2 linked regions of the Mytilus edulis genome follow. The protein of the gene in region 1 interacts with the protein of each later gene in a pairwise test. Links are inferred from orthologs where the notes say so. Each region holds a gene or a part of one and is shown on either strand. Other genes may lie near its edges.

Evidence for each region.
Region 2: the proteins of guanine nucleotide-binding protein G(i) subunit alpha (region 1) and regulator of G-protein signaling 12-like interact in a two-hybrid assay, tested with the Drosophila melanogaster proteins (2 studies listed by BioGRID). The link is inferred for Mytilus edulis from reciprocal best matches to the Drosophila melanogaster genes Galphai and loco.

What each region holds. Positions count from the first base shown.
Region 1 is NC_092344.1:74,217,352-74,233,755, forward strand, and holds the start of guanine nucleotide-binding protein G(i) subunit alpha, read right to left. Parts: upstream 9,041-16,404; 5' UTR 8,818-9,040; coding exon 8,700-8,817; intron 4,892-8,699; coding exon 4,849-4,891; intron 2,184-4,848; coding exon 2,042-2,183; intron 1-2,041. Other genes in the region: TBC1 domain family member 22A-like, read left to right, coding at 14,799-14,878. UniProt on the Drosophila melanogaster protein: Guanine nucleotide-binding proteins (G proteins) are involved as modulators or transducers in various transmembrane signaling systems.
Region 2 is NC_092347.1:15,952,801-15,969,639, reverse strand, and holds the start of regulator of G-protein signaling 12-like, read right to left. Parts: upstream 7,377-16,839; 5' UTR 7,250-7,376; intron 1-7,249. UniProt on the Drosophila melanogaster protein: Acts as a regulator of G protein signaling (RGS).

The sequences.
Region 1 (16,404 bases):
TTTCTAAACATTCAAAGATCAGACATAAATAAGTCAAAACCAATTTATATAATTACTATGTCTATTTGCTGTAATGTTTCAAGTTCAAGATCAAATCCATGATGAATTTAAATCAGGTTAATAGGCAGCCTTTTTATTCATCTTGTATCATTTATATATATGTCAATTGTTTGCCAAAATTTGACAGAAACTTGTCATATAGGACTTAACATGCTTAATGAAGATCATTTTAAAGACATCAGTTCTTTTTCTTCTTGCTTATTACTATGGACAAAATTTGTAGTAATGAAGCTAAAGAATTTCATTATGACAAGATGAAGAAATCAGACCAGGCTGAAATTGGTGAATCTGATCCAGAAAAAAAAGTGCTTTAACATCAAGTCTTCAGGGCTTGTTTTACAGACAAATTTCAGTATCAATTCAACCAAATATTAATTAGTAATTTAATATTTTTTCATACATATATACAAAAATATATTTTTTATCAAAATGAACTTCACGTTCCCTTTCAACAATCGATATATAGAATTCCCAACAGCTATGAATTACTTAACAAAAGTTGTCAAACTAATTGCTTTTAAAATGATGTGTGTGTATATCATAGCGCTATTGATTTCTATACAAAGCATTCAGTTTTAGGGTAGGGAAATAAAAGATTAGTTGATAAAGCCAGCTAATGATTTTCCTATTGTGGCAATCCTTAATCTGAGAAATTTGTACTAATTTCATTACTTTCTGCATACATGTACATTAATTTTGTATAATTTGTCCTGATGAAGCCGATCTAATCGGCGAAACATGTCAACAATAAAAGATGCAGTTTACTTAAGTGTTGTTGTCAATGTAGCGGTTTCTGCATACATGTACATTATTAGTCATTTTAATAAAGTATGCTGTCTCATAAAAGACAATTTTCCTTTTCATCATGTTCATCGTTAACATATATAATACACCTTTAGTTAGCATGATCATCTAGTGAACAGTATAGCTATACATGTTTATAATTATTTACATACATTGTACATGTAGTTTGTAATCAAATCTATTATAATTTACAAAAGGTTCAGGACTTCATGCCTGTTCTCGTAAAAAATCAAAGTGTCTTCAATTTCTACATGGTGTACAGATGATGAACAAATATTTGTAGAACCAAAGTAAAGATCTCTACATGTCTCTTTACAATTTAGGTCAATCAGGTAAGATGGAGGTGTCATATAATAATGTAGTGACAGCAGGTGCCCTACAGTCAATAGTTAATGACACATCAGAATGTAAGATGATAATGGAAAAATCATAAAAATGAAATACACAATCTTTAACTCAATCTGTCACAGAATTCTTTATACACATGATACATATATACAACATATTAGTAGAACATGTGAGCTTCCTTAATTCAATTAACAATTAAAAATGTTCACTATCATGACTAAAAGAAAAAAAAAATTCTACATAAAACTTCAAATAGGCCATGTAGGCTAACCCTTTGATATATAAGAAAAATGCAGGTTGAAAAATATTTGAAGAATGTGGCTTCTTGTGTCCTTTTGAATTTCTTGTATCCAATTTCTCAACATGTATCTGAATATGCACATCATGCATCCACATACTAAATAAAAAAAAATATAGTTGGGGTCTGAACCTACAACGCTGTCAGAACGTAATTGATTTGGGTCATCTGTATATACTCATTCCCTTTCATATATAAAAGCCATGAAAACTTTGACAACAATTGTTAGTTGAGCCGCCTGTTGTAAAAGTAGCATAATATATCACATATCATATACATGCATGTATAATTTTTGGCATAAGTTTGGTCTCCATTTTCCTTATAGATTTAACCTTTACAAACCATCTCTTTATTTGTAGTAAAATATGTTGATTACACTAACATTGTGCTATTATAAACAATTAGCAGTCTGAAGTGTCCTGAAATGAATATCAACATGGACAGTATTGAGTTCCAACTATAGGTTAAGTATACATATGACAATGTATGATAGTCTGTACTTTACAACAGTATTATATGCTATAGACTTACAGCTCTATCTGGGTGACCAAAATCAATTTTCAGTTGTCCCATCGCTCTAATAATGGCCATCATTGACTGGATAGTGTTACTGTAGACCACTGGTTTATACTGCAAACATTCTTCTTGGGAATAACCTTTTTCATGTATAATTCTGTAATTGATAATAAGTGTATGTGTAAGTACCATGTGTGAAACTACAGTTGTGGACTTCAAACTTAAGTCTATTAGATCCAAAATTGACCATGTTGACCAAACAAAAACTGTTGCAAAAGGTACACCTCAAAATTCATATATACATACATGTATGCATATACATCAATAATGAATAAACTATTTTATTATATGACTGCATAAATAGAAAATGTGTCCCATTGTCCATGAGACACAGATAAAGGACCCCATTGCATATAAAGTTATTAAGGGACTTATTTCTAGAACAGTAAAAGTGACACTACCCAAATAACCTGAGTTTTATGGTAATATGCATTGTATATAAGTTTCATAACATTTGGTTGTGGCAAATTAAAGTTAGAGAACTGAAACAAATTTTGTGACGAACGTTAAAAAGGACAAGGGTGAAACTTAATGCTATGGGAGGGCATAAAAATTTATCTTTAATCATTTGTTAAGGCTTGGGGAATCTTTTTTGATTAAACATTACCGGTATAATCACCCTAAGAAAAATCGTGAGAGGATCTTAAATTTGGAATGTGAACCTTTTTTTTTTCTAGGCAAAGACAATGATGTAGATTTATGACATCATGCAAATAATCTTTTTTTTTCTCCTTTTTCTGGTTTTTCTGTGACAGTAAATATCATTTTCATAAATGAATTTGATCTAACATTTCAACTTATTAAAGTTAGCAACTGCCAAACAGATAATAATATTAAGGATAACATTATTTAGTTAAATATCTTGGAACAGATACTACAATTTCAGTACAATGTACTATTAGTAATCACTAGAAAATTGGAGATGCATATAATACTTAATAATTGTTGACATTTGATATCAGTTGATAATAACCTCATCAAAAGTCAATAATTGTATAATATTATATATTATATTATACATTATATAAAAAAGATATGTATTTATATGCAAACATCATAAACATGTATGTATACAGTAGTACAGTATTTCGACTCTAGATTAGACATTTTTTTAAATGGTCAAATCGTTATTTTGATTTTAAGAATTAATTGTAAATTTCTCATCCTACTAGACCCATTGCATTGTTACTAGAAAAGATGTGTCAGAACTACATTTTGTACATATATAATCCACATTAAATCTGTTACAAGAAAATTTAAAGTGTACAAGACTGTGAGACTATCTTACATGTATTATGGTCAATTTTCCAGGAAATTAAATTAAAAAGAAAAGTAATTAATCATCAATTAACAAGTCTTAGCTATGAAGTTTCACATGTAAGCGGGATATCAGTGCCTGAAAAAATTTTTGGGGGGCAAGTAAAAACAAGGGAAGTAGTCATAATTTACTGTCCGGGACCGAGTTTCCTGTGGGCCGAGTTGTTACAAATGTCTAGTTAATCAAGAGTTGTCTTCCATTGTTTTTTTTACGGGGGAGCAGCTCTGGAAAACCTCCAATTCTTTACATGATTAAATATTATTTTATAAATTACGATGATTTGAATTTTAGCAGAAGTGTAGGGCAGTCGCCCAGACGTTTTATTTTGGGCCAGTAATTACCAGATTACTTGTCTTTTAACAACTTCTGATCGCCCTGACATAAAAGTGGTTGCCTCAGGCGCTGGATATGGTATTGGTTTTTGCTCATAGTCATAACTTTTAAAAATTTGTAACCTGTAGTATGCTTAATTAATAAATAAGCAGTAGACCATTGGTTTCCCTGTTTGAATATTTTACACTTGTAATTTTTTAGCCCTTTATAGCTAGCTGTTTTCGGTGTGAGCTAAGGCTTTTTGTTGAAGGCCATACTTTGCTGTTGTATGTTCTATGGTCGGGTTGTTGTCTCTTTGACACATTTCCATTCTCAATTTTATTTGACCTATAATGGTTTACAATGCACTTTTCACAACTTGTGACTTGGATGGAGAGTTGTTTCATTGGCACTCATACCACATTTTCTCATATCTACATGTATATGCTTCATTTAAAATCTGTTGGATATTTGACTCATTGGCAATCATACATTATGTAGTTTGTACCACATCTCCTCACTTTATTTTTGTAAATAAAATTACACATACATGTACAAATACAATGTATTACAAACATGACAAAGCTGAACATTAAAAGTTGATAGGTATAAAGTATTTTAATCATATATATTGTGTGTCGACTAATGACTTCAAGGTCACTTATAATAACAGGAAATTCAACTTACATGTATTATCAAAATCTATTAATGGGCATTTGTACAAGCTCTATCCCATCATGGATATAATCATTTAGGAATACATGTATAAATTAAATCTACATTTTACTATTTACAAATTTAAGTTATTGGTCATAAACATGTGGTTTTTTTGAAACCATACTTAATGAGAAAATTCTCAGAATGACACGCTCTTCGCACGGTAAGAACCTATTGGCAGACGACAACTGCAGTTTTATAATTACTAGACCATTTATATGTTTTGCATAGACCCAGACCAACTTCTAGTTTACCATGGAGATTGGTCATTCTAGTATTTCCTTGCAACCCTGTAATGATTTAACTGCGATAAAAAATCCCAAAACCAGTTACATGTACCTGAACAATTTATAAAGTAATCAAACCTGTTTTCATCATATATGCCTTCTTCTGTTTACATTACTAATAAACTTACTTCATTTGTTTAACTATTGTACTCTTTCCAGATTCACCAGCACCTGTAACATAAATAAATATATACATGTCAGGTGTAATAGGAATATTTGCTGACCTGTTTCTCAGACATCAGATGTGGTGGACTAAAACTACAAATTTATGACCCTTTATTTATGCATTACTGGTGTTGTTGTTTTAGTTCAGTTCAGTATTGTTTCCAAAAGTTTTTGGCATACATGATTATACATCTACATTTTTTAATTAGCTGCGGAACCGTAGCTCTTAGGTCTTTGGATATTTTTTACTATTTGTGGACAATAATTAATATCATAAGGATGTGTACAAAATGTAGGACCTAAGAGCTACGGTTCTGCAGCTAACATGTAATATACTTTAGCCCCAATCCCGGATCCAAAGTTTTTTGGTGTCAAGATTTAAAATCAATGTGGGCACTTTACAAATGTAAGTACTAAAATAAAACTTTTTCACCCCTTTGCTCAACATGTGTTGGAAATTTCTATGCATGTATGTTTGTCACGTGGTGATGGAAGTCACATGACAGATTCGTATGAAAACTGTATCCCGGAACTGGCCTATATGTTCGAAATATATATATACATGTACATAGATTGCAGATAAGTCTAATAAAATAATTCTTATTCTTTATAAAAATATTGGTCAACATTTGTCAACTACATGTGTATAATGATGTTGTCAATTGTATATAATAAAGTGCTAATGAGAGAGCCAATTTCACCAATTTACACTGACAATGTTAACACGTCTAATCTGTATACATGTACATTGTACATCAGAAAAATTATGAAAAATACAGAGATCAAGGTTCCTTTGTCATGTTTGGTAATAATAAGCTGGTTTGTGAAGAGTTTACCTTTTTCTGTCAGGGATGAAGTTAAAGTAAGAGCCAGAAAAAATGCCAGCTGTGACATTGATATTTTGTCTGAAATGTCTGAAGTTTTAAAATTTCGAGCCATCTTATTTTAATGCCAGCAAGAATTTCGGATTAAGAAGTTACATGTATGTTTCAGACATTGATCTTAGAGTCTGTGACACTTGAACTGTACACCTAAATTTTATTGCTATTTGGAAATCTGTCCCGCTTGAACTATTTGACACCATATATACAACAATCACTTTTCCAATGGATTGCAATGTCATGTGTGGCATCAGATATTTTGTATTGTGACGTCAATATTTCTGGGAACCTGTGTGATGTCCAGTAATTGCAGACAAATAGCAATTAGGTGTACCTTTTGCTTTGATGCCTTATGTTGATAGTTCAAAGCAAAAAAGTGTAATAGCCTTTATGGAGGGTGGTAAAGTGTTATTTCCGTGCAACATGTTTTGCCATTTTTATTAAACGTGCAGCTGTGAAAAACATTCGTTATTCACTGTGTTTCAGGGCTTCCAAAACGGTCATATATTCCGGTCATTTGTATAATGTCTGGTAAAAGTCCGGCTGGGCAAAGCATGAAACGGTCATATACTTTTTAGTTTTCAAGGCTTTTTCAGTCATTTTTACATAATTCACTATCTTTTTGACCCAACCTTTTGCCTTTAACATCAACACATTTCCGATTATATATCATGTAAATGTGACATGATGATTAATTACTATCAAAACAACACCTACTTCAATACTTTCTAATTTTAATCAAGGCTAATTAGTAGTTGGACAGCTGAAATCTACCTGTTCAGGTGACAGGTGAACTATGTTCAGTACCAGACATCGTATAAATTGATCGGTTTATTCACAATTACTTTCTTACATTTCAGCAGTTTGTATCTAATTGATTTAGTCCAAAAGATTAAAATTATTAGAAATTAGTTTATCAACATGATTTGATGAAAAATTTAAAAAGGTTTTAAATGAAAAATCGTCAGAAGTATTTTGTTGAAGAAATAACGTGGAAAGAGCTTCTTCTCTTAGTTGTGCTTTGTAAACGTACACGAATTTTACGTATTCGTTTATGGTCCATGTTTTACCATTGTCAAGTCAACATCCGATTAAAACAATGTGAAAACGAAAGTAAAGTTTTTGACAACGTCATTTTGCACAAATAAAAAGTCTAAGGCAGATATGAGCACGCTATTGTGCATGTTTTGAACGATGCACTGCCAATTTAACAGTTACATCAGTCAGAGATATAACTCTATAGGGTTATTCCAGGAAATAACTTGCGTTTGTTATCACAGATACTTGCACCTTAAATTTTCTAAATCTCTAATAACATATGCTTGTTATTTGTAAAATTATTTCATTTATAGTGGGCTCTAGCTATATATATAGGGAACTCTTGAGACTTTGGCAGAAACTAAATGCATAGTTTTGATAACAAATTTTTTAATTAAATTAATACATTTTTGATGGACCATGGTAAATCAATGAGTCGAGGCTATTAAGGGATAAACTTAGCTGTGATAACAAGGCTTAGTTATTAAAGGAATGTAACTTATTATATAAGACACTTGGGAATTACTGAGAAACTTACACCTTGTAATTAAGCATGATGTATGTCTGAGCAAATGCTTTGAAGTGATATAGAGAAGCTGTGATAACACCCTTTAGTTATTACAGGCATATTTTTTCTGTAATAACATATAGGTGTACTATGCAAAATTGGCAAACTATCAACTGTTATATCTTTAAATAGTTAAGTATACATATAGAAAAAAAGTAATATCAATAGAACTTTTATACATTTTAACTAAACTAATGATGTATATTGTCCCTTTCAGGGATCTCCATGGATGAAAATTGAACGATGGAGGAACTTTCACCATTACAAACTGTGTCTACGCTGTACAGTGTAGCGAGATCGAAAGTATTTTATCCCTCCATACAAGGAACGGTGAACATGCTAAATCATTGCTTATTTAAATTATATTTATTTGAATTTTCATTATAGAATTAGAAGTATCTATATTTTCATTTTTTAACATTTTTGAAGGCTTTGAAACATGTTATCACAGTTCTTTGATTTTTTAGTTCACACTAACAAATGTATGTTATTTTCCTGTAATAACCATATAGAGTTATATCCCTGACTGTACATCAGAACATCAAATTCATATCATATCAAAGTAAAGTTTAAAATCGTTTTTTTTAATGTAATGTAATGTCAATCATTGGAATGGCCATCTGATTACCATAATTGCCTTTTGTGAGTAAGTCTTAAGGGATTAAAATCGGGATCAGATATGAAATGTCCGGCTGGGTCAAATATTTTTTGGAAGCCCTGCCGTGTTTCATGAAATCGGTAAAAAGATCAACGTGCAAGCAATTTTTAATCATTTGTTCATTGTGAAATTTTATTTCCCGTTCTTCCGTGCAGATACCCCCTTCTATATAGGCTTCATAATTATTTGGACATATTTGGCACATTACATTTTAAGAAAAAAGGGGACGTCACATAATTTTTGATGATATAAATACCCTTCTTTCGAAACATTCACAAACATGTTAATGACAGCATAATCCACACTGACCATAGAAATGGTGTATAATTTAAAATATTGTCAACAGTGAGACTATGAACATGATTGCATTTGGTTTACTTACTGTACCAATAGCCAGGGGGAGTTTGAGGGGTTCGGACGAACCCCCCCCCCCCCCCCAAATCAAATAAGCACTGTTCAAGTCAAAGTTTTGTTCAAATTGTGACTGTTAAAGTCGAGTTCGATTTATTCGTGATAATGTATATATTTTAATTTAATGTAGCATCATGTGTTTTACTCTTTTGAGTGTGTACGACGTTAGACTAAGTTGATATGACAAGGCACATGAATTATTCGTCAAAATAGTCATTCGCAACAATCAACCGTTTTCTGTGTTTCATAAATACTTACCTAATAATAACAATTTTACTTCTCTCGCTGCTTTTTCGCCATCTGCACGAAGTGTTTTGTCAATTTGTTTTGATCTTTCCGATGCGGCTTTGTCGTCGGAAGAAGTAGCACACCCCATAGTTTATTTGTAATGTTAATCCAAAAATTACACCATAAATTATATAATAAATCCAATGAACCAAAAATATGTGTGAAAAATGATAAGAAACACCCAAATTTTAAGAAAACTTCCTGTAAATCGTTGACATTTTCATCGGTTGTCTGATGCTTTTTGAATAAACTCCCCGGATGTGGACGGGCACCTTGTCGAGACTTGAACGAGATTAGCTTTTTAACATAATTATATGGACTTTCTCAAAACATGTTTTTTTATGTCTGTTATTTTTATTAGACATGTCTTTTATTTTTCGATCAATAAGTTATATCAGAGACATATTCTGGTTATAAATGGAGACTAGAAAATATTTTTTATTCATTAAATCCGTATCTTTCAAATTTACCTGCAAATTTTAGTATTTCCTCTTTCTGGGACTATTAAACTAACTATAGTCCCAGCTCTTTTTGATATGGCGTCTATCTATGATGGGCATTGATCATTGGAGGGTCATAACTAATTTTCTCGTGTACTAGCAAAAAACTTGTTGAAAATGCTATAATTAAAATTGAAAAAGCGATATTAAATATTGCAAATGCTCTTTTCGATGATGAAAAATTCTCTTTTCAATATTCCAAAAATCATTTAAGCGTAGGTTTTTTCGCGTTTTGTGTAATAAAGCATTTGCGATAAATCATAAGTATTTGCGATGATTAATATAATATTCGCAGTGATAGATACAGCACTCATAATTTGCTTAATCATGCCTACTGAAGTAATAAAAAAACCTTAAAACTTATAATTTTTTGTCACAGGATTTGCTGTCATAATATATACTTTTGAAACCCAAGGTATCAATAGAAATGCAATATATATATATATATCGCTTAATTTAATTTGATCTATGACATTGAACATTTCGTCAATTTTTTTTACTTTATAGTTTCTGCACCTGAGATCACCCCTAGTTTTTGGTGGGGTTCGTGTTGTTTATTCTTTAGTTTTCTATGTTGTGTCGTGTGTACTATTGTTTTTCTGTTTGCCTTTTTTATTTTTAGCCATGGCGTTGTCAGTTTGTTTTAGATTTATGAGTTTGACTGTCCCTTTGGTATCTTTCGTCCCTCTTTTTCTGCCCACGGCTAGCTTCTTCTTAATTCTCCACAAACTGTAGAAAAGCTTACATTTTTATCATGGATCCACTTATAGATCATGCAAAAATGTTTACTTATATATGTGAATAATTATTGATTTAAATCTTTATATTATATTTTGTTATCTTTTGTAGATTTTTATGCCCCACCTACGATTTTAGAGGGGCATTATGTTTTCTGGTCAGTGCGTCCGTTCGTCCGTCCGTTCATCGTACCGTTCGTCCGTTCGTTTGTCCGTCCGTCCCGCTCCAGGTTAAAGTTTTTGTTCGAGGTAGTTTTGTAATGAAGTTGAAGTCCAATCAACTTGAAACTTGGTACACATCATGTTCCATCTGTTATTATCTTTGTAATTTTAATGCCAAAATACATTTTTACCCCAATTTTACGGTCCACTGTACACAGAAAATGATAGTGCAAGTGGGGCATTCGTGTATTATGGGGCATCCGAGTACTATGGACACATTCTTGTTGTTATTGCTTTTACTATGATTGGAACTTTTGTATTTTATAGCCTGCCTACGTGCATATTTTAATTCTTTCCGAAATGGGGAAACCCCTATTTTATTTTAGTTTATATTTGGCATTTCTATGATAAAAAATAATATAACGCGCAACACAGATTACGCAAAAGACTATATATCCTACAAATCTAAACTTACGACATCGCATCAAAATTAAAAAGAACTGCCAAGTTGATATTATCCTTCATAGTTTTTGCAATCTTAGCTTTATTTGGAAAAATTGAACCATAATGGCTACTAAAAGCGAATTATCATGTCACTATATATATTTCACTTTCATTACTGATTAAACGAAAACTTGAAAAATAATACTTTAGGGTTTTCATATATCTCGTAGCTAATGGTCCCTTAAAATGCATATTTAAGAATTGAATGCTTCTTTTTGTAAATTTATTGGGGTGTAAAAGCGTTGACCGAAGTACATTTTGTATGAAGCGCGGAAGCGCTTCATTCTAAAAATGTACGCACGGTCAACGCTTTTACAACCCTATAAAGTTACAAAAAGAAGCATTCAATACTTATAATTACATTTTTTTAGCTATGATCAAGAAAAAACGAATTTTATATTGTTTTTATTTAATTCACCTGTGCACTTTATTGTGGGACCACGTGTTATCATGAATGAAAAGTTTTATTGAGTGATACAATTGCTTACGGAATAACACGTGATGTGCTGTTAGCTAATCAGAATAAAGTATTATAATGAAACATACATCTAATGTAATTATTAGTCAATACTGGGCAATAATTAAAATGATAAATGAAAAATAAATAAATAAAATAGCCTCCACTAGACCAGGGTGAGACGAGAGCAAGGTACGTTCAAAGTGGAAAGGGATCAAGTTAATATAAATTGCAACACTTGTTTCCCAATCCACTATAAATAAATATGTTTAAATTAAATTAAGGTTCGTTCATATATTTTTCATTGTTTTCTCTTCAAAAATGTCTTACAACTACTAGTAAAATAAGACATGATAAATTACTTCAAAAAAGTTTATCTCGTGAGATAGCACGAGACTACCATAACACATAATCTCACATTTTGTTTTACAGCTGAGACTATATGTCTTTCCTTTTTTAATGTGTTATAGTAGTTTCGGGTCGTCCGTGTAAATTAAGTTCGGAAACTACTTTTCGAGACATATATAATTATATAAATACCCATCAAACTAGGTGAACATTTCAACACGGTAAAGAAACCACATAATATTGGAGGAAAATTGTCTTAAACTTGTCTTAAAATCGTCTTGTGTCCAATTTCATTCCATAGATCTTTATTATTTTAACGGTCTAAGTTAATATTTGTTACTTAGAAAACCTCTTTGAATTATGTATGTTGTAAAAACGAAGTCTGTGACAATATTATAATTTAATTCATTTTAAATGGAAATTTATTTATCAACAACATAGAGCTTTCAAATAGAAATGAGATTAGAGATTTGAGGATATTCCAATAAATGCATCTGTCCCAGCGTTGATATTATATTTCCTTGGCGGGTTTCATCTAATGAAGGGCGTATGTTAGTTATACGTCCCGGCTTGATCTAATGAATTAGATAGCATATATGACATATATCATTATTTCATATCCGTTGAGAATAAGATTCTCTTATTGGATTAAAAGAGGTCACATGACATTCATTATTCTTCAGTAATAAATTCCATCGGTCATTAACAGAAAAAAACGGACCAGAAAACCGGTCGTTAACGAACTTTTACATGATAATGACCGGTGGGGCGTGGTTTCCGTCTGATAATGACCGTTGGGGCGTGGTTTTCGTCTGATAATGACCACTGGGGCGTGATTTCTCTGTTAATGACCGGTGGGGCGTGGTTTCTCTGTTTAGAGAGATGTACCTTTTATAAAACATTTTCCTGTTTTTAATATTATATTTAGGTTGTTGAATTATTTATTATATGTTTTCGTTAATTATAAAATTCAAGATAACTTGATTAAGTATTTATATACTGAAAAATTGCACTAAAATGAATGGCAGTATTACTACGACTGGTCTTCACTGTTTGCCATAGAAATCGTGCAACTACTCGAGTTCGCTGTAGGCATTTTTAATTTATGAGAATTTTCCAAAACATGGTTTCTCAATGAAATAAACATACTAGTTCTTAAAAAAATAGTCATTATCGTGATACATGGACTGCCCGTAGGACAGTCCATGTATCACGATAATAACCAATTTTTCAAGAACTATTATATAAATAAATATTCTTCATAGGTCCACTTTTTATCGTCTAACTTTGCTTATTATTTTAAAATTCATATACATTTATCTATTACAAGATATTTCTCTCTCTCATCATTACCACTTTGTCATATTTTTAATTTAAGTATCAAAAAATGTATTTTTCCATCTTCATTTAAACTGGCAAAGTCATACCAGTTTATAAGAACAAAGGCTCAAAACAAGATGTTTTTTAATTACAGACCAATTGTAATTTTACCACTCATTTCTAAAATCCTTGAAAAACATGTGAAAACACACTTAGTAAAATATCTTAATAAACACAACTTATTGTATAGAATGCAGTCAGGCTTTCGTGCAAATCATTCTTGTCAAACTGCGTTAACAGCTTTAATAGATAAGTGGCTTAAAGCCATTGATGATGGCGATCTTGTTGGGGCAGTTTTTCTAGATCTAGCAAAAGCCTTTGATCTTCTCAATCATGAACTGCTTATTCAAAAATTAAACAAAATTAATACAAATTTGCTTATACTTCATTACGCTGGTTTACATAATATTTGGCTGACAGATATCAGAAAGTATCTATTTCAAATCAGTGACATTATCAGACGTACAAAAACAAAAAACGGGTGTACCTCAAGGATCCGTATGAGGACCGGTGTTGTTTTTAATTTTATTAATGATCTTCCTTTGTCTAATCCTAATCATAACACCGATGTATTTGCTGATGATAGCACCATATCAGTCATTGGTTAAAACAAAAGTTGCATCAGTCAAAAACTTAATACGGTTTTACAAGATATTTTTCGCTGGTGTGAGGACAATAAAATGGCTGTAAATGTATCTAAAACAAAAGCTATATGCATTGGATCTAAACAAAAGCTTTCCGTTACATCAAATGAAAACATTAATCTTGCTTTAAATGGACAACAAATTATAGAAAGTACATGTGAAAAGGTTCTAGGTATTTTTATTTATGCATCTCTTTCTTGGTCTTCTCATATCGATTCTATAATAAAAAACAGTTAACTCTTCTTTAGCTTTACTAAAAAGGATAAAGAAATATTTAAATCACAAAGCTAGACAAATGTACTATAACGCTTACGTTTTACCTCACTTAGATTACTGTTGCTCAATGGGGAAACTGTAATAACTTTCTATTAGATAGTTTACTAAAACTGCAAAAAAGGGCAGCAAGAATAATTTTAAATGAACATGATTACACCAAACCTCCAAGATAATTATTTCACGAATGTAACATTGTGCCAATCACACAAAGAATACTTTATCACAAATCATTACTAATGTATAAGGCAAAACATGGCTTAGCTCCAGAATATATGTCCATGCAGTCGTATTTTATCAGCTTCTGCAAACCAAAAATATAATACGAGATTTTCATCCTCAGATAATTTTATAATTCCAAAACCAAATACAGAGTTGTATAAGTCTAGTACTGTCTCGTACACTGGACCAAAAGTGCGGAATGCTCAAAAATTCAAATACAGTATCAGAATTTAAACATAAATACAAATATATGTACTTTAAACATTACCATCATATTTGTACTGTAATGCCATATCATAATAATATTGTTTATTGTATTTTAAATTGTATATAATCTTTATTTATCATTATTATTGATGCACTGTTTATTTTTAATGTAACTATTATTGTTTTAAAAGAGCCTTATTGAAAATTGATGTAATCCAAATGAGTTACTCTCTTTAAATACAGATATTATTATTATTATTATTAAAATACTGTTTTTAATTGGTGCCGAATAAACTTTAAAATAGGAGGTCGTTTGTATAATTTTTGCTTTCTTTAACGGTTTACCACATATACCTATAACCGATTTCGTGTAGTAAACATGGCTGAATTAGTTAATTGGGTAATTTATGGTAAATCATTTTGTCGAATTGATTCGATTTAACAATTTATGTAAAAAAAGAGTTTTGAGACGACCATTCAAACGCCGAATGGACCACGAATTGGGAGTACATCTCGATCATCGGAAGTAAACGTCAGCCATATCATCAACAACTTTCTGTAAAATAGGAAAACTGAATTATAGTTTATGTCGATGATATTATGCATCACACCGGCGTAATAAGACTTCACAGGAAATGTCTGCTATCAGTTCTAATCCTGTGAAAGACACAAACAAACAAAGCTTCTGGAAGAAAGAATCAAATGTTCCAGGAAGGTATACCGCAAACATACTGTTTATAAAATAGAAGCGTTTGAAACTTTTCCTGTCAACGTGAGCTCAGTGAAAACTATTGACTTCTTTTTATTGGCATAATATATATTTAAACTTACAATACACACAAAAATAACTACATTTATAAAGATGCAGGAAAGCATAATGCATGAAATAGTAACCAGATTATTTGTTATGTGTAACTGTTATTTTTATATGGTCCAATATGGCAATAAAAATTATTGAAATCCACATTCGCTACCAGGATCCCTCTGCACCCTACATGTTTGCATTGTTTTAATGGTTGTGGTTTAGTTGGTGTTAATTTATATGACTTATAAGTTTATTATTATAAGATATAAAAGATGAGTTTTTTTTATTGTTTTTGTTGTGATATTATTATACTTATTGTATAGCTATAACTACCTTGTATGGCGCCGTATAGCTTCTACAGTTGGAGTTGTTAGTTGTCCTTTACATCAGGATCACGTCCGTACAGCTAGGCCGATTTGTAACAACTCATTAGTCCATAGCTTGCCATTCGGAACACTCTGGACTCTTCATGTAGCTTATTCTTGTACCGATGTGCTCCACATTTTAAAAGAAACTAAAGTGTCATTATACAGTTTTGGCTGGACCAAATTCTTTTAGTGCTCTTTGCAGGGCTTCAGATTTTTTTTTGAAAATGCACTTACCCATCGGAAAGTTATCTTATAATTTACTTTCCAATATCAATTTTCACTTTCTCCGTTATTCTCCTCCTAGTCTGAAAAAAGCTTATACAGTCATGTTAACAACAATTAAAAAACGTAAACAACTTTATTTACATTCCTGTTTTAGTCTTATAATTTCTTTCGCAAATTGGCAGAGATGAAATGTGTATGCAAACTTGTGGCTTCATGACCTCCATTACTGTATGACTGTTTACTGATAATAATTACCAACTGATGTATACGCAAGGAAATATATATGTGATAACTTAGGGAACCAGTTTCTTAACTAGATTTTGTCCCAAACTTTCTTTGTCAGCAGGCGCGGATCCAGCCATTTTAAAAAGGGGGGGTTCCCAACCCAGAGGAAAGGGGGGGGGGGGGGGGGGGGGGTTGTTCCAACTATATGCTCCCATTCAAATGCATTGATTGGCCAAAAAAAAGGGGGGGTTCCAACCCCCGGAACCCCTCCTCTGGATCCGCCACTGGCCAGCATGATCAAACAAGAATATTACACACACTAGAAAGTACCACTTACTTACCTGACAGGAAACTGGTACCTGGGTTTTTTCCTACCCAATGATTTATTTACTTTCCCCAGGAAACGGGAATTCAAAAGCCTGACTTTGAAATCTTTTTTCATAATGAATATGTCGTTCATATAAGATTATCTTTCATGTTTTTCATTTAAAATCTTCATTGTTTTTTACTCACCATGCTCATACCAAGCTTTTAAACTTCCGAAATCGAAACGATTTTGTTAGAATTTTGTTTCCTGGTCACACTGCAGTGACAATCATCAGTATTACCAAAGACATA
Region 2 (16,839 bases), on another chromosome or scaffold:
CTGTTTCTTTGAGATCTTCAACAAAATATCGTATAGTGAGCAATCTCAAGACGACTGACCCTTTTGTTGCATGTCAATTTTCATTTTTATTATCATTCATCATCCATGATTGACATTTTATTACATCACAAGAAACCAATGATATTTTAAAACTAATACGGAAAATGTAGGTAAACGCCGCTAATATAAACAATGACACAACTTTTATAAAAGAACAAAGCTCTTATTTCTTCAACGTTGCACGTATTTTATCTAACAAAAGGCAATAGCCAACAATATGTTTATACATCCGTAAATATTTTGACGGGACATATTATGGTATACAAATGCCCGCGACGGTCCGTCTGTCCGTCGTAAACATGGTACAGCATATTATTCAAAATCATAAGACGACGGGCGTATCATGCGCTCGTAGCGCAACTGTTAATTTTGGTTTTTTTAAATATTTTTTATAAATATATTAGAGAAATGACGGAATGACAGTAAATACAATGCAATTTCCAATATAATCAATATTTCCGAATGGCATAACTCTTTTAAAGAATAGTTGATATGCAGTGATTTTCGAGCATGTCTATACGATATCAGTTTTACAGAAAGTTAACAAGAATTGTACACTTGAAAAATGTGATTAACCAGAAGGACCGGAAGGACAGACAGAGGAATGGACGTGCGATATTTTATGTACGCGTTATACGGTGAAAAAAATAATTTATGTGCTACAATTTATGTACAAAAAAAGAAGTTCCGTTTGCAGGATAATAATGCAGGGGTTAAAAAAAATTGTTACAACTTACTAGCCCAGGACTTATTGGCAGCAGGATTTTACTAGCCCTGTTGGAAGAACTGCTAGTCCATCAAAACTGACCTGCTAGCCCTAGTATGCCTTAAAAATCAAGAGTTTGATGCATAATATAAAATGGGTGTCCTTTGTTTTGAAGGAGACATTATACACTGTATTTAATCATTTTTGTTGATCTGTTATTCATTATTTTGGTGCTTAACCTAACTTAGTTGTTCCCACATTCAAAGCAGACTTTTTATTGGCGTGCTTAGGGCAACTAACGGCAATATTCACAGAGCATTGTCTGTTTTTTTCCATCAGCAACAGCCAACCTTGCCAGAGGAATCAATGTGTCACAGTTCTGCCAACTTTTCAGGAAGTGAATGATTGTGTGTTTATTTGGCCAAATTGTAAAGATCAAAGAGAAAAAAAAAACAAGAGATCAAAGGAAAATGCCGCCAAATAAGCATGAACATGTGTGAGTCTCGCACTAAAGACTTGACAGGACAGCGGCTTTTTCTTGTCGTATTTACCATTTTTGGGGGATAAAATTTCATCCTGGTTACTCCCTTCATCTACCGTTTTTCGTTTTGAAACTGACGAAGTCCCTGGGGTTCCCGTACTAAAATATTAAGAAATATTTTGTTGCATGGTTTCGTGCTCAAGAGCTGTGCAACAAGACAGATCATGACCAATCAATACATCATACCCCCAAATACCGTTAATTGAAAATGTTCTATACCCCAAGCCATGGTATGAGAAATCGATATTTAAATTACGAGAATTGCAATCAACACATGATACCAGGCCACCCAGACATAACAGAGTTATTTGTTCTATTTTTAAAATATGTACAACAGGACCTGTACAAACCAGTTCAAATTCTTGAAATCCCGGATGACTTAATTGAATCGAAATCGCTAACTTAGAATAGTGATGAAGGGATTTTTCACTTTCTATTTTGGAAACGCCAAGAATTTTTTGTTTCTAGTCAGTCGGGCATATCGGATTACACATTTTAATTGCCCGAGGCGTAAATGATCTAGTCCCGGGCGTCAGGCTAGTGGATTTTTTAACCCCTGTAATGAGTTCACACGTAATTCGAATTAATTCGATTCGCATTACATGCAACTAATTCGAATTAGTTTAATTCGCATTCAAAATGTTTTACGTACTAACGTAAATTCTAATTCGCGTTTAATTTGATTTACTGTCCAAACAACGTTAACTTTTAATTCGTATCAACAAAACCGGATTTCTTAGTGATTAAAACGTTAATAAAAGGATTTAAAGGATTATTTGTAATGAAACAGCAGCCCACCAAACAAAAGAAAATAAATCTAGAGGTCAACATACGGTATGAAATAATATACGAGTGTGTACAGTAAATGTACCTGTATGCATGTCAAGTTCTAAATTGCCGAGTATTTAATTTTAAAAGCCGTAAAAATTATCAACAGTCCGTAATAACTTTTCTTGAGATGTTTATTTCTCACTTAGACCACAAACAGAGAGAGGGATTTGTTATTCACATGATTTTATTTCCGGAAACAATATTACCAATTTATAGATAGTAATTTACACATCTTACAAGCAATATTTATACATCTGAAAAATGTCTCCGGTCATTTACAGAGATAACGTCGAAATTGTCTGCCAACGACGTCGTGCACTTTAGCGCTAACGTTGAGGTTGCAAAGGGGGGACGCAATTTTTAGGATAAATCGTGTTTATCATGGAATCAAGCACGGTGACCTATATTTTTTATTTGGGATTTGGAGAAAGAATGACAAAATGCAATTTATGCAGAAAAATCATAAAAATGACATTTTCAGAAACAGTTTATTTTTATTTTTTTAGGTTTAAAAAAATACCACTTTGAGCATCTGGTCCGCAATGACAAGCAAGGCTTGAATAATTGTATAGTTATTCATGTAGTGATTTATTTTTTTCCTTTTTGTCACTTATCACAGCTTCAGATTGAACCCGATCTTAATAATTTACGACGAAACATATCTGCTCCAAATTTTTTTTAACATTGCCTAATTTTTTTTACAAAATTGCACAAATCCCCAATTTTTAGCCTCAATTTTCTCGAAAACAAGCACGGTGACCTATGTTTTATTTTGTGTTTTATTTTATATCTCGCCAAGGCCTACAACATATTACAAATTTATAAAAATGACATTTAATCGAGAAACTGTATCGGATGCCCTTAATGTTCAAAATAAGAAAATAAGCACAAACAACCAGATGAATTTTCTCTTTCTTTTAAAAGATTGAAGCAAACTGAACCCCTTTCAGCTTGCTTCATTGCACATGAAACATGCATATACAAATGTATGTTAACTGTGAACACTAGTCGCAAATATCAGACCTGATGATCATGTACATGATGTACATGTAATATGTACCATGCAGGTACATGTAAGTGCTTCTAAAAATAGTTTAAGCCACATGTACCTAGACATTTTTCTCGATCCCATTTTAATCTTATTTGCTCTCATAGCTAAAGCTTTTTAAAGGCAATCAAGCAAACTAAGGTACATGTATATGTAGTTAAGAAGTCATGGAAAGGGGGGCAAGGGATTATTACTTAGCATTGTCACAACACCTGAAAATAGAGATACATGTAATTTGATGTTCATCTTATTTTTTTTATACTGTTCAATTTGTACCTCTTGTCAGAAAAAAACAGTTCAAAATCTAGCAATAATAAAAAAGATTTTTTTTATATCAAAAAGGAAAAGAAAATTGTTACATCAATCAAAATTCAATTTAAAAAAAACTCTGTTATCATGTTTATGAAATTCAGTGTTTCTCATTAAAAAGTTATATAAATTTAACACAGTTAAGCTTGGACATGGTATGATCAATGATGATATTCGCAGACTGAGAGTTGAGTAATTTTAATTAATAAATTGAAACAATGCATATATATATACATTAAACAAGTAGATCTAAGTATGTTAATGCGCATTGAATGTGTAGCTTTTCTTTTTGGGATCAATATTCCTCTGTCAGCTGTACATGTGCCATTCATGCTTCCATATAGTCATAATCATAAGAACTGGATTTCAGTCATAGCTGGGCCAGTTCTGATCAGTAGTTTGTACAAATACTTCCATGGTGAATGAAGAAAAATTTGTTGCCCAAGTCGCATGCATATATGGTAGCTTGAGCCCTGAGTTGACTAGCAGTGATAACTTAACAGTGTATAGAATGCACAAGATTAATGTACATGTGTGTGCTATACTATTCATAAATGTAAGAACTTTCTGTAGAGAAATTATACTGGCAAATGTTTACCCAAATATTGATTTACATGTACAGTTACATGTAAATCAGGGTTCACCTCAGAATGAAAATCAAGGGTGTGCAGGGTAAGGTCATCAATTCTGAGATGGGAAGTAATTTGACATGTACATGTATGAAGAAATTATATATATATTTATTTTTATTAGTAAGATAAAAATATTTGTACACATGACAATGCATGATGTATTTACTGTCTATGTATACTAGGTTGAGGTGGCTGCTTCGAATGTGTATAAAGAGTAGCTCATTACAATACTCAGCGCAGCCATATGGGATCCCTATGCACAAGAAAATATTGACAAAATAGAGCGGGTACAAAGAAGAGCAGCTCGCTATATTTTCAACGACTACAGTAAGGAATCAAGTGTCACAAGCATGATAAGCAAGCTTAACTGGATACCTCTCTACCAATGAAGAGTGAATATCAGATTATGCCTATTTTACAAAATTGTAAATGGACTAGTAGCAGTTCCAACAGATACTTATAATTACCTCATTCGACTAAATAGAACATCAAGACACTACAATACATGTACCATGGCATACACCATCTTCAGCCGAAGACATGATTACTACAAATTCTCATTCTTTCCAAGAACAGTATTAAATAGCCTGGAATAAATTACCGGAATCGACAGTGAAAGCTCCCACTATCAAAGCTTTCAAGACACTGGTTAACTAGATGATGGAATGATTTTATCCTGCACCAACTGTACAGCATGGGTAAACGGACAGAAAGTCACAGGACAAAAAGTCACAGGACATAAAGTCACAAATTTGATAGGACAAAAAGTCACAAATAATTTGGTGACAATTGTTTGAATATATAAGAGAAATATTTTGAAACATTTACTTTTTAATACATATATTCATATTAAAGTTTAGCATGTTTAGGAAATGTGTCATTCAGGGCCGTAACTACCTATGAGGCAGGGGAGGCCCCCTGAATTTTCTACACTAGAATTTTTTTTTAAGTAATAAAATGAAATATTGACAAGATGTACAAGAAGAACTTGAATTTGTATTATAAACCACACACGTTTACAGTTTTAACAGTTATCATGATACGTGATATATCTGTCATTTTCCGGAATTTTTTATCGAAAGTGAACCATTTCAGTATTTGATTTAGGCAAGGATTTGTATAGTAAGATTTGATTTAGGCAAGGATTTGTATAGTAAGATTTGATTTAGGCAAGGATTTGTATAGTAAGATTTGATTTAGGCAAGGATTTGTATAGTCTTACTATACAAATCCTTGATTTGAGTATTTTCGTGTGGTCATCCATCTGATTTTAGTATTTCCTATGTCGCATATGAAACTTTGCTTTCAACAATTTGAAATAAAACTTAACTAATCACATTTATTTGGGGGCTCAATTAAGCAGGGGAAGTTCTTTCCCTTTGTATTGTGAATCTTTTATGATATCGGAAATACGTTACCGGCTGAATCAGCTTTTTGATATTTTTTTTTAACGTGTCTAGTCGGACAGTACGTCTCCCAATCATACGAGAACATTATGGTCAATGCCTTAGTAGTTTTGAAACACTCCCATTCGTTGTAGTTCTAAACATGTCTTTTCAGCTTTCAACAATATTGAAATTCAAGGTCCTCGATAAAAAAAGATATCTTGCGTTCTATTATCTTGCTTTATATGGTTTTTTTTAACTTATCAGTTTGATTTCTAACAAAAATATTTTTAAATACTGATAATAAATGTTTGCAAAAAATTGCTTCCAGGTTCAAGCATTACTGATGAGTCTTATTTAAAGGAAGGAAATTGAAGGAAAACGGGTAATTTTAGACATTTTATTGAGAGAGAAAAAATCGGTGATCACAATGTATTTAATGTTAATAATTATAGTTCAAAGTACGGACTTCAAGACGGAGCTTTGTCTCACCCCGAACAGCAATCTCAGTTTGTTTTTGCATAAAAATTGCTTCTAGGTTCAAGCAATACTGATGAATTTTAAAGTAAGAAAATCGAAGGAAAACAGGTCATTTTTAGCCATTTGACTGAGGGGAAAAAATCGGCGTGGGGGGGGGGGGCTGTGCCTCAATCGGCGTCCCCAAAACCCTGCCTCCCCTGAATTCGAACACTAGTTACGGCCCTGTCATTATACTTGAAAAATCAAGATTTATTTAATTTTAATCAGGCAAAAGATACATTTCTTGGAACCATGAAGCCATTTAAGTGCCAAACCACTTTGACATTTTGTTTTATTAACAATTATTTGATCATCTTTGATATTTTTTTGATAAATTTTGTTAACAAAGTTGGTTTATATACACTAGTTCAAGAAAAATACAAAAATATTTTTGTAGAAATAAGCGGTTTTTATTCAAAGAAAATAATCAGAAAAAATGAATTGTGACTTTTTGTCCTGTGACTTTTTGTCTGTGACTTTTTGTCCTGTGACTTTCTGTCCTACATTCGCAGCATGCACCGTATTTTCTTTTCTGATCTTTGATCTTTTATTGTAAATAGACATTACCAACACCTACGTAACGCACAAGTATTGAGTACTCATTATTGAGTAACGCACAAGTATTGAGTACTCATTATTGAGTTTAACTACTAGGCTCCAACTACTATAAAAGAAGAAGAAGGAAGGGTGATCCAGTTTTTAATTGTTCATGGAAAAAAAATGCTGTATTTGTTTTGCAGGATGGAATTTGGTTTGAGGGTGTGTGCATGTTCCGTGGCTGCCTGAGTGATTGTATTATAATTAGTCAGTCTGTTTTTTGATTACTATAAGTTGATATGTGATTTTGTAAAACATAAGAGCAGTGCCAAGAAAAAGAATTAAACGATTTGGGGGCGAATTTACATGTATTGGGGCGAAACGACCCGATAAACAGTGCACTAAACATTTTTGTCTAGTGAACAAAAATTATTTGTTTCATAAAGCAACTATTCCTACTTTGAATACGAACAAAGAAAAGCATTAACTAAACTTGGAGACAAGTTGAATTTAAATTGGCATATACTGGTAGGCCTGGCATTGTTTTTTTTTACTCGAATAAATTTTACTTCGGGCACCTGCCAGGTACCATTTTCAATTTTATATTATTTGATGGGTTTAAAGCAATTCGGGATTTTTAAACTGCCACATACAGAGTTAAAAAAATATCTAAAGAAATACCTTCTTCAATTACACATTTACGTTATCATGTTCATGTAATTAAAACTTTTTATGATTCCATCGATGTTTGTTGTTGTTCTTCCAAAATGGTCGACTGTAAGGTCACGTGAACCGCAGCCGTAATCCCATTGGGTGATTCAAATTGCCGCAAAATATTTAAATTCAAATTACACTATAAACATGATAAAGTAATTTTAATTTGAGACCATTTTAATTCTTATTTGTAAATATATGCAGTTGTTTCCTAACATTTTCTTACAACCCAGCACATATGAATTATTATTTATCTTTTAAAATTTTATGATGACAATCCTATGAATTAATTATGATATCTATCATTTAGTGATCATTATAACCAAATTCAGTCATCTGTATATAATTAATTGTTTCCTTGTGTTTTAAGGTTTAAGTCATGGCAAAATATTCAATTAGTTGATTGTGGCCATTATCCGGTAGAAGTAGAAGAAGGTGTACATAGTTGCTAAAACTATACCCTTTGGGTAGTGCTCCACAATTTAAAATGGAGAAATATACACGAAACTGAACTGATTATTGACAAGAAACGTGATTATATTTTTCTTTACAAAAAAATATCACAATTTTGAAACTAGACGTTTATTTACAAAAATTAGAATTAGTGACCATAATTTGCTCATTGAGAAGGGCAGATATCTAAAAATACCTCGAGACAATAGAACATGTCCAACTTGTAAAACCTTAGAAGATGAAAATCACTTTCTCCTCCACTGTCAAATTAATAATGTTTTACGTATAAAACTTTTTAATGACATGGCAATATAGATAATCCTATGTTTCCAAATCTATCTGATACTGAAAAACTAGTAGTCCTACTAAATCCTTCTAATATAAACCAAGTGAAAAAACAGGTTCCTTTATAAAACAGTCTTAATTTAGAGCTGAGGACAGGGGACTCTTAGTTACTTTTACTTGTATATATATAGATATGTGTGTGTTTAACTCAGTTATTTTATTGTTGCTGTTACTTTTGTTTATGTCACAAGTTATAATGTTACTTATATGACAAATAAAGATTATTATTATATCTCGTTCTTTGAAAAAAACTTAAACTGTTCCACAAAGAAAAAGAAAAGAAAAAACCACCAGTCAGCAAGAACTTTGGTTTTGTTAGATCCAATCAGAAGTCTCATCGAGTATATTTGTACTGATTTTGAAAAATTCCCTGCTTTTAATTTGAGTCAAGTTTATTTAAGAATTGAATGCTTCTTTTTGTAACTTCATAATGGCTGTAAAAGCGTTGACTGAAGCACATTTCGTATATATATGCGCTTCATTCTAAACTGTGCGCACGGTCAACGCTTTTAATACAACCCTAGTATGAAGTTACAAAAAAGAAACATCCAATACTTACTAATTACATTTTTTAGCTGAGTTCAAGAAAACAGGAATTTTATCATTTTTTTTTAATTTAATTCACCTGTGCACATTTTTGTGGGACCTCGTGTTATCATGAATCTGTAATCTGTAATATACAGTGGCGGATCCAGGGGGGGTGGGGGTTCCGAGGGTTGGAACCCCCCTTTTTTTTGGTCCGAGCATATAGTTGGAACCCCCCCCCCCCCTTTACTCTGGGTTGGGAACCCCCCTTTTTAAAATGGCTGGATCCGCCACTGATATACATTCTGCCAATGTAGCGGCACACCTCTTCCGAGTAGTGGAGTTCACAACATGAATAAAAATATCTTCCACCAATATCACTATACACTATTTACATTGTACATCATATTCTTGACGATAAAATTGGGCTTAATGTCAATATAGGCAGCATCAACTCATTAAATACTTTAAAATCTAAAATATTTATCTAAAGATATCACTGTTTAAGAGTAGACAACCAATCGTCACTTAGGATTCATATAACATGTATAATGTTATTATCTACTTAATTTCTCTTCTTTTTCTTTATATCATCTAATTGCAACAGTCTATACCTTTCACTTTAAAAACTTTTTCATTTCTTAACATTGCCATGTAAGTAAAGGGATCTATAATCAGTTGTAAAATTTCAAATTGTTCATCTTTCATATTAAACACCAAAATTGGTTTTCTGATATCTTCTAGACTTTTCACGTTAATAAAAAATGTGGTAAAGTTTCTTCTGTTTCATTACACAGTTTGCATATAGACAGTTCTGTATTATTTATAAACTTGGCCCTAACTGTTTGCAGAATGTAACTCCCAGTAGCTATTTTCAATTTTGTAGGAATTCTAATAATTTCCCTTGAATTCATAGTATTTGTATTTGCAATAGGATGACAACGACCTGGTTTATATATCAATGATAAATATTTTAAACTGTTATAAAGTTTTGCTTGATTCAGTATCTTCTCGATCAAGATTTTTTGAACTTTGGAAGTTATTTCCCTTTTCCATTGCTATTTAGAAATTGGATTGACTAAATATTGTGCAGGATCATCAAGTTCATATTTCAAAAATATTTTCCTCAGTAAACTAAACCAACTATTACTATTAATAGATTTTACATTTAATTGCCTTTCCGCTAGTTGCCATTCAATAGAACTTTTTCCTTGTCTAGTAATATTTCGATAAAAAGTTAATTTTTTTACATCTATTTGAGCTTCTACAGGTAACATCCCAGAAATTATATATGTAGCAGGATCGGCTACTGTTTTTGGTAAAGATATTACCAATGTCATTTCAACTGATCGGGCGGAGCTTACGTTTGCATAAGGGCAGTCTATTTGAAGATGTGTGTGATGCCGTTATAATTATTACTGATTTCTAATCACCTATCAGTGCCATCAAAGGAATTTACAAAAGAATAACTGAACACTTCTTTGATGAGTTTATCCTAAAACACCTATCTATAGATGGAAAGGTTTATTATGAGCGAAACGGTTAAACTCCGCCCAGTCAAGTGAATTTTTTTTTATAACAATTGTTTCAAGAACTTTAGTAAATTGGATATTTAAAGTTTCTAAACATCTTCCTCTAGGAAGTACTATTTCCAATCCATATAACATTATTGGTATAATATAAGTATTCATAATTGACATTGAGGTTTGTGGATCTAGTCCATTTTCACCATAAAGTCCAACCCCCATTAAGGTTTATGTACCCTTCTGTAGCCATTTTTGTACGAATTTTTCAAACCTCAATTGTATCAAAACTAAAGATATAATAAATAATAGAGATAGGCCATTTAGTACATGTTCCAAGGGGAAACTTGATGCAAAGCATTATTTTTTACTGTTTCATTGCATTTGATAGAAAAAGAGGACTTTGTGGCAAATAAATCAAGATTTTTATAGAAAATCCACAGCCTTTAATACAGAGATTTTTGTTATAAAATTTGAAACATAAATTACTCACTTGATTTTCTATGATGTGCTAGTGTTTATTTTTTACAAAAAGTTCTAAGTAACCTGTAAATTCCAAAACACCTCGTGCTGAGTCACTAAAGTCGAGCGCACCCTAAAAGGTGTACTTGATTTTTGCCATATTTATACTTGTCTTAACCAATAACTACATTTATAAACTTGTTTTAAGGAAATCAATGCTAGCACTGCATGCAATAATCCTATATCTATCAGTCATCAAATTGCCAAATATGAGAGTACAAGGATAAAGACTGTGGATTTTCTATAAAAATCTTGATTTATTTGCCACAAAGTCCTCTTTTTCTATTAAATGCAATGGAACAGTAAAAAATAATGCTTTGCAACAAGTTTCCCCTTGGAATATGTACAAAATGGCCTATCTCTATTATTCATTATATCTGTAGTTTTGATACAATTGAAGTTTGAAAAGTTCGTACAAAAATGGCTACAGAAAGGTACATAAACCTTAAACTATAATAGTGTCCTTCTTGCTTTCTTTAAATTCTCATCTATTGTTGCTTTACATGAATCTTCGTCTGTACGACATATTCCTATATGTGTTGCTTTATTAGAAGTTGGAAGAGTCGAATTGCCTAAATTCCAAAAAAAATCATTTACTTTCTCATGGTGACGTGATTTAGACTGTATAACACAACTTTTTGCTGGTATAAGTATGCCTCACGTTTACTAAAATCAAAGGCCATATCAATTAAAATTTGCGTTTCATACGGACAATTACTAAGTATGGCTAAATCATCTGCGCAAGTAGGAGCACAACAAGAAATCGATCCATGCGCAAGTACTGTAGGAGCACAACAAGAAATCAACCATGAATGATAAGTTTGATTGTGTAATGCAATTGCTTAAGGAATACACGTGATGTGCAGTAAGCCAATCAGAATAACGTATTTTATTGAAACTTACATCTAATTTAATTATATCTGTAACACTCCCAAACGTGTCCGATTCCCCCAAACGTGTCTATTTCCCCCAAACGTGTCCGTAATGTTCAATATCCCCAAACTTGTCCCATTTCAGAACCCCCAAACGTGTCCGATAATTGTTATTCGCCAAAACGTGTCCACTATTACACGCCAGAACGTCTCACGTCTGTTAGCGTTAAAGCTAGGTTCACACTGCCGATCAAGATCAACTCGATTATCCCGACTGTCCAAATTTCCACGAGCAAGCTCAACCAAATTCTTGATCGGGCCTGTTTGCGACTTCTACCCGACTACCATCTGACTGTACACGACCTTAACTCGACCATTCACGATTCCTTAATGACCTTTAACACGACTTCATCCCGACAACAAAATGAATACTTATTCGATAATTCCGATCAATTAACGATCTTTACACGATCTTTACTCGACTATCTAGACCAAATCAACTATTCACGATCTCAACCTGATCTTGACCAGACCAGATCGTATATATGGGTCGTAGGGATAATTTCGAATTGGTCGGGTATGCACATTTTTTCGGAAATTTTTATTCCCCGACGCTTCGGAGTTGGCATTTAGTGTTACCTTTGTCCGCACGTACGTCCCAACATTATTAGTTTCCGTTCTCTAATTTTATTTTGCTTCAACCAAATTTTATGAAACGCCGTATACACAATGCTTATTACCATAAAACACAATTCAAATGCGAATTTGGTTGGCCGTTCTTGCGTAATGACCCTGTATAATGTTATATATGCTAGCTGGACACACTCTCCGTTTATTTGGGTATATTCAGTAGAAGGTCCAGGTAAAATCATACATTTAAAATATCTACATAGGAATAAAGCAGTTGGATTTGTGGACAAGGTGTTAAAAAAGCTCCGAGGGACAGGTTAATAGCCATGCGCGTAGCTACGTTTACGTCAAAACGCCCGGGTGTACACTTGAATTTTGAAAATAAAACAAAATAATCGACATAGAATAAGAAAAACTGGTCAAAAGCACATCAGCCTTGTGCTTCTTTTTTTAATGAATTGTAGTTTTGAATGAAAAGGGACTAAATTTACTCAAATAGATCATTTAATATATTTGTTCGAATCTTTTGTAAAAGTCTGAATCCACTATGAATTCTACGTACTTTTCTTATATTAAAAGCAATTCACTATCTGCTCAGATTCGATATGCTGTTTGTATTTTTGTCGAGCCTGTGATTTATGTCCAAAAAGCGAGACAAAGCGGCGTAAATATTTAGGTTCCGAATGTGGATAAAGTCTTTTGAATGACTCTCTGTGAAATTTTACGAAAGTTGTACAGAAACTGTTTACGATCAAAAGAGTATTCAGAGTAATATACTAATGCAATTATATCTTTTATTTGCCCGCATTTTAAAGACAAAATGTATTTCTTTCTGCAATTAATAAGTGGTCGCAGTTTGGGTTTGGGCTTACATTTTGTTATTTCTCAATTACATTAACTACTTGTCGAACCTTCATCAAAATTTATGAAATATGCCGAAGAAACTTTTTCTTTGACTAGTGTCTAAAGCTAAAATTTTGAAAGCATTTGTTTTCATTCGATCATTTTCCGGTTCTTTTCTGATAGACAGATAGCCGGGGTCTTCTTTACGCAATTAATTGTTTTACATGTTCAATTTATAAACCTTCATAGATTGTCGTGAAATATTCCAGATCAAGAAAAAATTATCAAAAGAAAATTTTAGATTTTTTTTTAAATCCATTTAAAGGAAAGATAAATTGTTTCACTTTTTGTGGAAAGAAGTCCTAGGTGTTCCAGATTTTTTTTATACTGCACCTCTTAGAAATATTTATTTTTTCATGTTCATCAAGAGGTGCTTTTGTTGATTGTATGCTCACTCACGACACCCTTTAAACTTATTTAAAAGTAATATTGGTTTAGACGTTTTCTCTAAAACCAATGACCATTAGGCTAGCTTCAAGTTTAAAACGATGAATAAGTTAACATATTACAAGATTTAACCAAAAAAATAAACGATTGAGATTCAAAAGTATATATATGTTGTTATCAATGATTTTTTACTGACTTGAATCATTATGGTATCTCATTCTCGATAGCTTTCAGGGGCTTCGTCCCTTTCGAACCCACTACCAACAGGTGCTTTGACATTGAGCGGTTGACACCCCTCATATCCCTCGCCAAGGTTCGGACGTACACGTAAAAATGACCCAGCTACGCCACTGAAAGCTGTGACGGAGTTTGAAGAGTGCATAGAAAATGATGTAGACAGAAACGGGCGCCGAGAAATCTAGGTGAGGCAGTGGCTGACACGATGACCACTGTGTGTGCAGTATGAGAGACTTGCACTAACTCAACAAAGAGGAACCCAATGCTTATAAAAACTTGATTATAGTGGACACTGATATGTTATGGTAGTTGTATAGCTCTTTTTTGGGAAATGACACCACAAAATGAGATTTGTCTCTGGATTAGTACTTATGATAGACGGCAATATACATAAACTTTACCACTCCTTGTCCTTTCTATCTTACAAATAAAGCGTACCGTTTGTGTCATATATTGTGCATAAGTATGTAATCAGTATTTTTCATAGATTTGATATCCAGTAGTTGAAGGGTTAAAAATATTCATTTTCTATTTGCTGTATGGCAACAACCTGCATGTATTTGCTAAAAAATATTGCAAAAGAGGGCAAAGATGTCACATATTTCCGCAAAATTTCACCCAAAGTACAATTTCAATCCCCTGGAGTGATGCCTTTTCTGAAACTGTTTACAACTTGACAAATATCTATCAAGATTGCATTTTTTTTCACCAAAGTTTGCTAAACGGTGTGTGCTGTTTGTTATAGTTTGTTAAACGTTACAGAAGCAGAAACAAATGCATCGTTTAATCAGAGTTTGCTGACCCTGTTTGAACTGTCAAAAACGCATGCACATAGCAACACGTAACCCAACAAAACCTGGTACGATATCAGGTGTTCCGGTAGGGAAGAAAATCCTGCAATTTTGGCACCGGCGGAGTTTTCAATAATAATGAAATCAATGTTATTGCACAATTACTTCATATTTGAAAAATCCGCCGGTGCCAAAATTGCAGGATTTTCTTCCCTTCCGGAACATTTGAGATCTTCCCAGGTTTTGCTGGGTCACGTGTTGCTAGTTTTTAGTCAGTTTCTATGTTATGTTGACTGCTGTTTGTCTTCTGGTCGGTTTTCGTTTTTCGCTATTGCTGTGTCGGTTTGCGGTTATCGGCCTTTTAGTTTGATTGGTCCTTTGGTGTCTTTTGCCTCTCTTTTAAAATGTTAAATTACCTCTCCTTGCAAAAGTTAAGACACGAACTGTACATGGAGGAATTTTTGTACAATAAAAAAAATGTTGCCAATATATTTTTGCGGAAGCAGAGTTATGAGAGTCAATCAGATCTGCACACACTTTCAAAGAATCGTGTAGCAGTCATGTGTTCTCGTGTATGGCCGAGTAGAGATCGAAGAGTGATCGAATGTGGTCGCGAAGGGATCGGGTATTGGTCGAATTGGTCTGGGATAAAATAAATATAAAAATCGCAGTGATCTGGAAGCGATCGGGCATTGGTCGAGTTAATCTGGAAATAATCGGACATTAGTCGAGCAACATTCGAAATGATCGAGTACTGATCGGTAAAATTGTTGTATTCCGACCAAACTCGATCCCTTCACGATCCTTTCCCGATCAATTCGACCGTTACTCGACGAATTCTCGATCTCTTCTCGAGTGAATTGCTTCTCGATCCTTACTCGAATGTTTTTGACATGTCAAAAACTCTCGGGTAGAAAGTCAGATCGATAAAGAGCAAGGTAGACTATCCCGAGCATGCTTGTCGATTGAGTCAGACCAGTCTCCCGATCACGCGTAATTTGTCTTGATCGGGCTTGATCGAGTTGATCTGATCGGCAATGTAAACCTAGCTTAATACACTCATTTCCCGAATGAAATAACGTGGACGGCCATTCTATGATGGAGACACAGTTGATGAAGTGGACTTTATTAGCACAGAGACATATATACACATGTATATATGTCTCTGATTAGCATTAGCATTATTAGCATTAGTTTGTTCAATGCCGGTTATACATGATTATCATTATTGTAAATTCAATCTGTAACATATGAATTAACTTTTGTTATAGTAAAATAATCATCTCGTTGGTCTGATAGATTGTCACAATTAAAAAAGAAAATGTTTTTCATCTTCGACCTCATTACTACATGCAAAGTGGGAATAGGAGGAAGACACCGGTGATCATTGGTGACAAATTCTGCTGATTGAAAGATATTATGGGCTGTATGGCCATGGGTCATCTAAAAAAAAATGTCGAATTTTGAATTTGCAAATTTATTAAAAGTTACTTATCAAAACAACTTTTTACATTAGAGCAAATACTTATAGAACAATATATTAAAAGATGCAATCTTAATAATGTCATACAAGAATATCTTGAAACATTTTTTGATAGGTCGTGCTATATTTCGTCTCTCCTGTTACCATATTCAAAACAAAATTCGGGTTATTAAGAAAATGTTAAGACAAAATTTTAAGTTTGTTTTTCGTAGTCGATTAGATGGTTTTCAAGAGTATAAACTTCTATATATAGTCATTCTGTGAAATAATAGATTTTTTGCATATTTTCCACTTTGTACTGAAAAATGCCTCTAAAAATTAGTCTTCAGAGGTTATAAAAATAACCACCAGTAATGTAAAAGTCATAATGTTCAGCATTTTTCAGTCTCTCTTTCAAATAAACCCAACATCAAGTAAATCCATCACATGTTAATTAACTTTTGTCTTTATAAATTCTATTGGTAACAGGAGCGTACGTATATAAAGTTCCATCCTGTTACCTTTTTGTCTATCCTGTTACCGATAACAGCATTACACATGCAAATGCAAAATTGCGAACATTGAGCAACCATAGTAAAATAGACTTTCATCATTTTTTAATGATGTTGTAAAATAACTACTCCCTTTGATGAAGTGATATTGTTTTTCTGTTGTGATTTTGGTTTCCAACACGTTATTGCACTTTTTTAATTACAAGTAAAATATTGATATCATTAATCAATATGCTGGTAACAGCATAGACATGACAAAAAGTACCCTCTATTTTTTCACTAAATGTCATGAAATTTCTTTTCCCTACACTGTCATACAAGAAACGTTCTGTGTTAAATGTTGTTACTTTGCGCTTTGAAAATCAACTCTGGCTTATTCAATATTTATAGGGAGA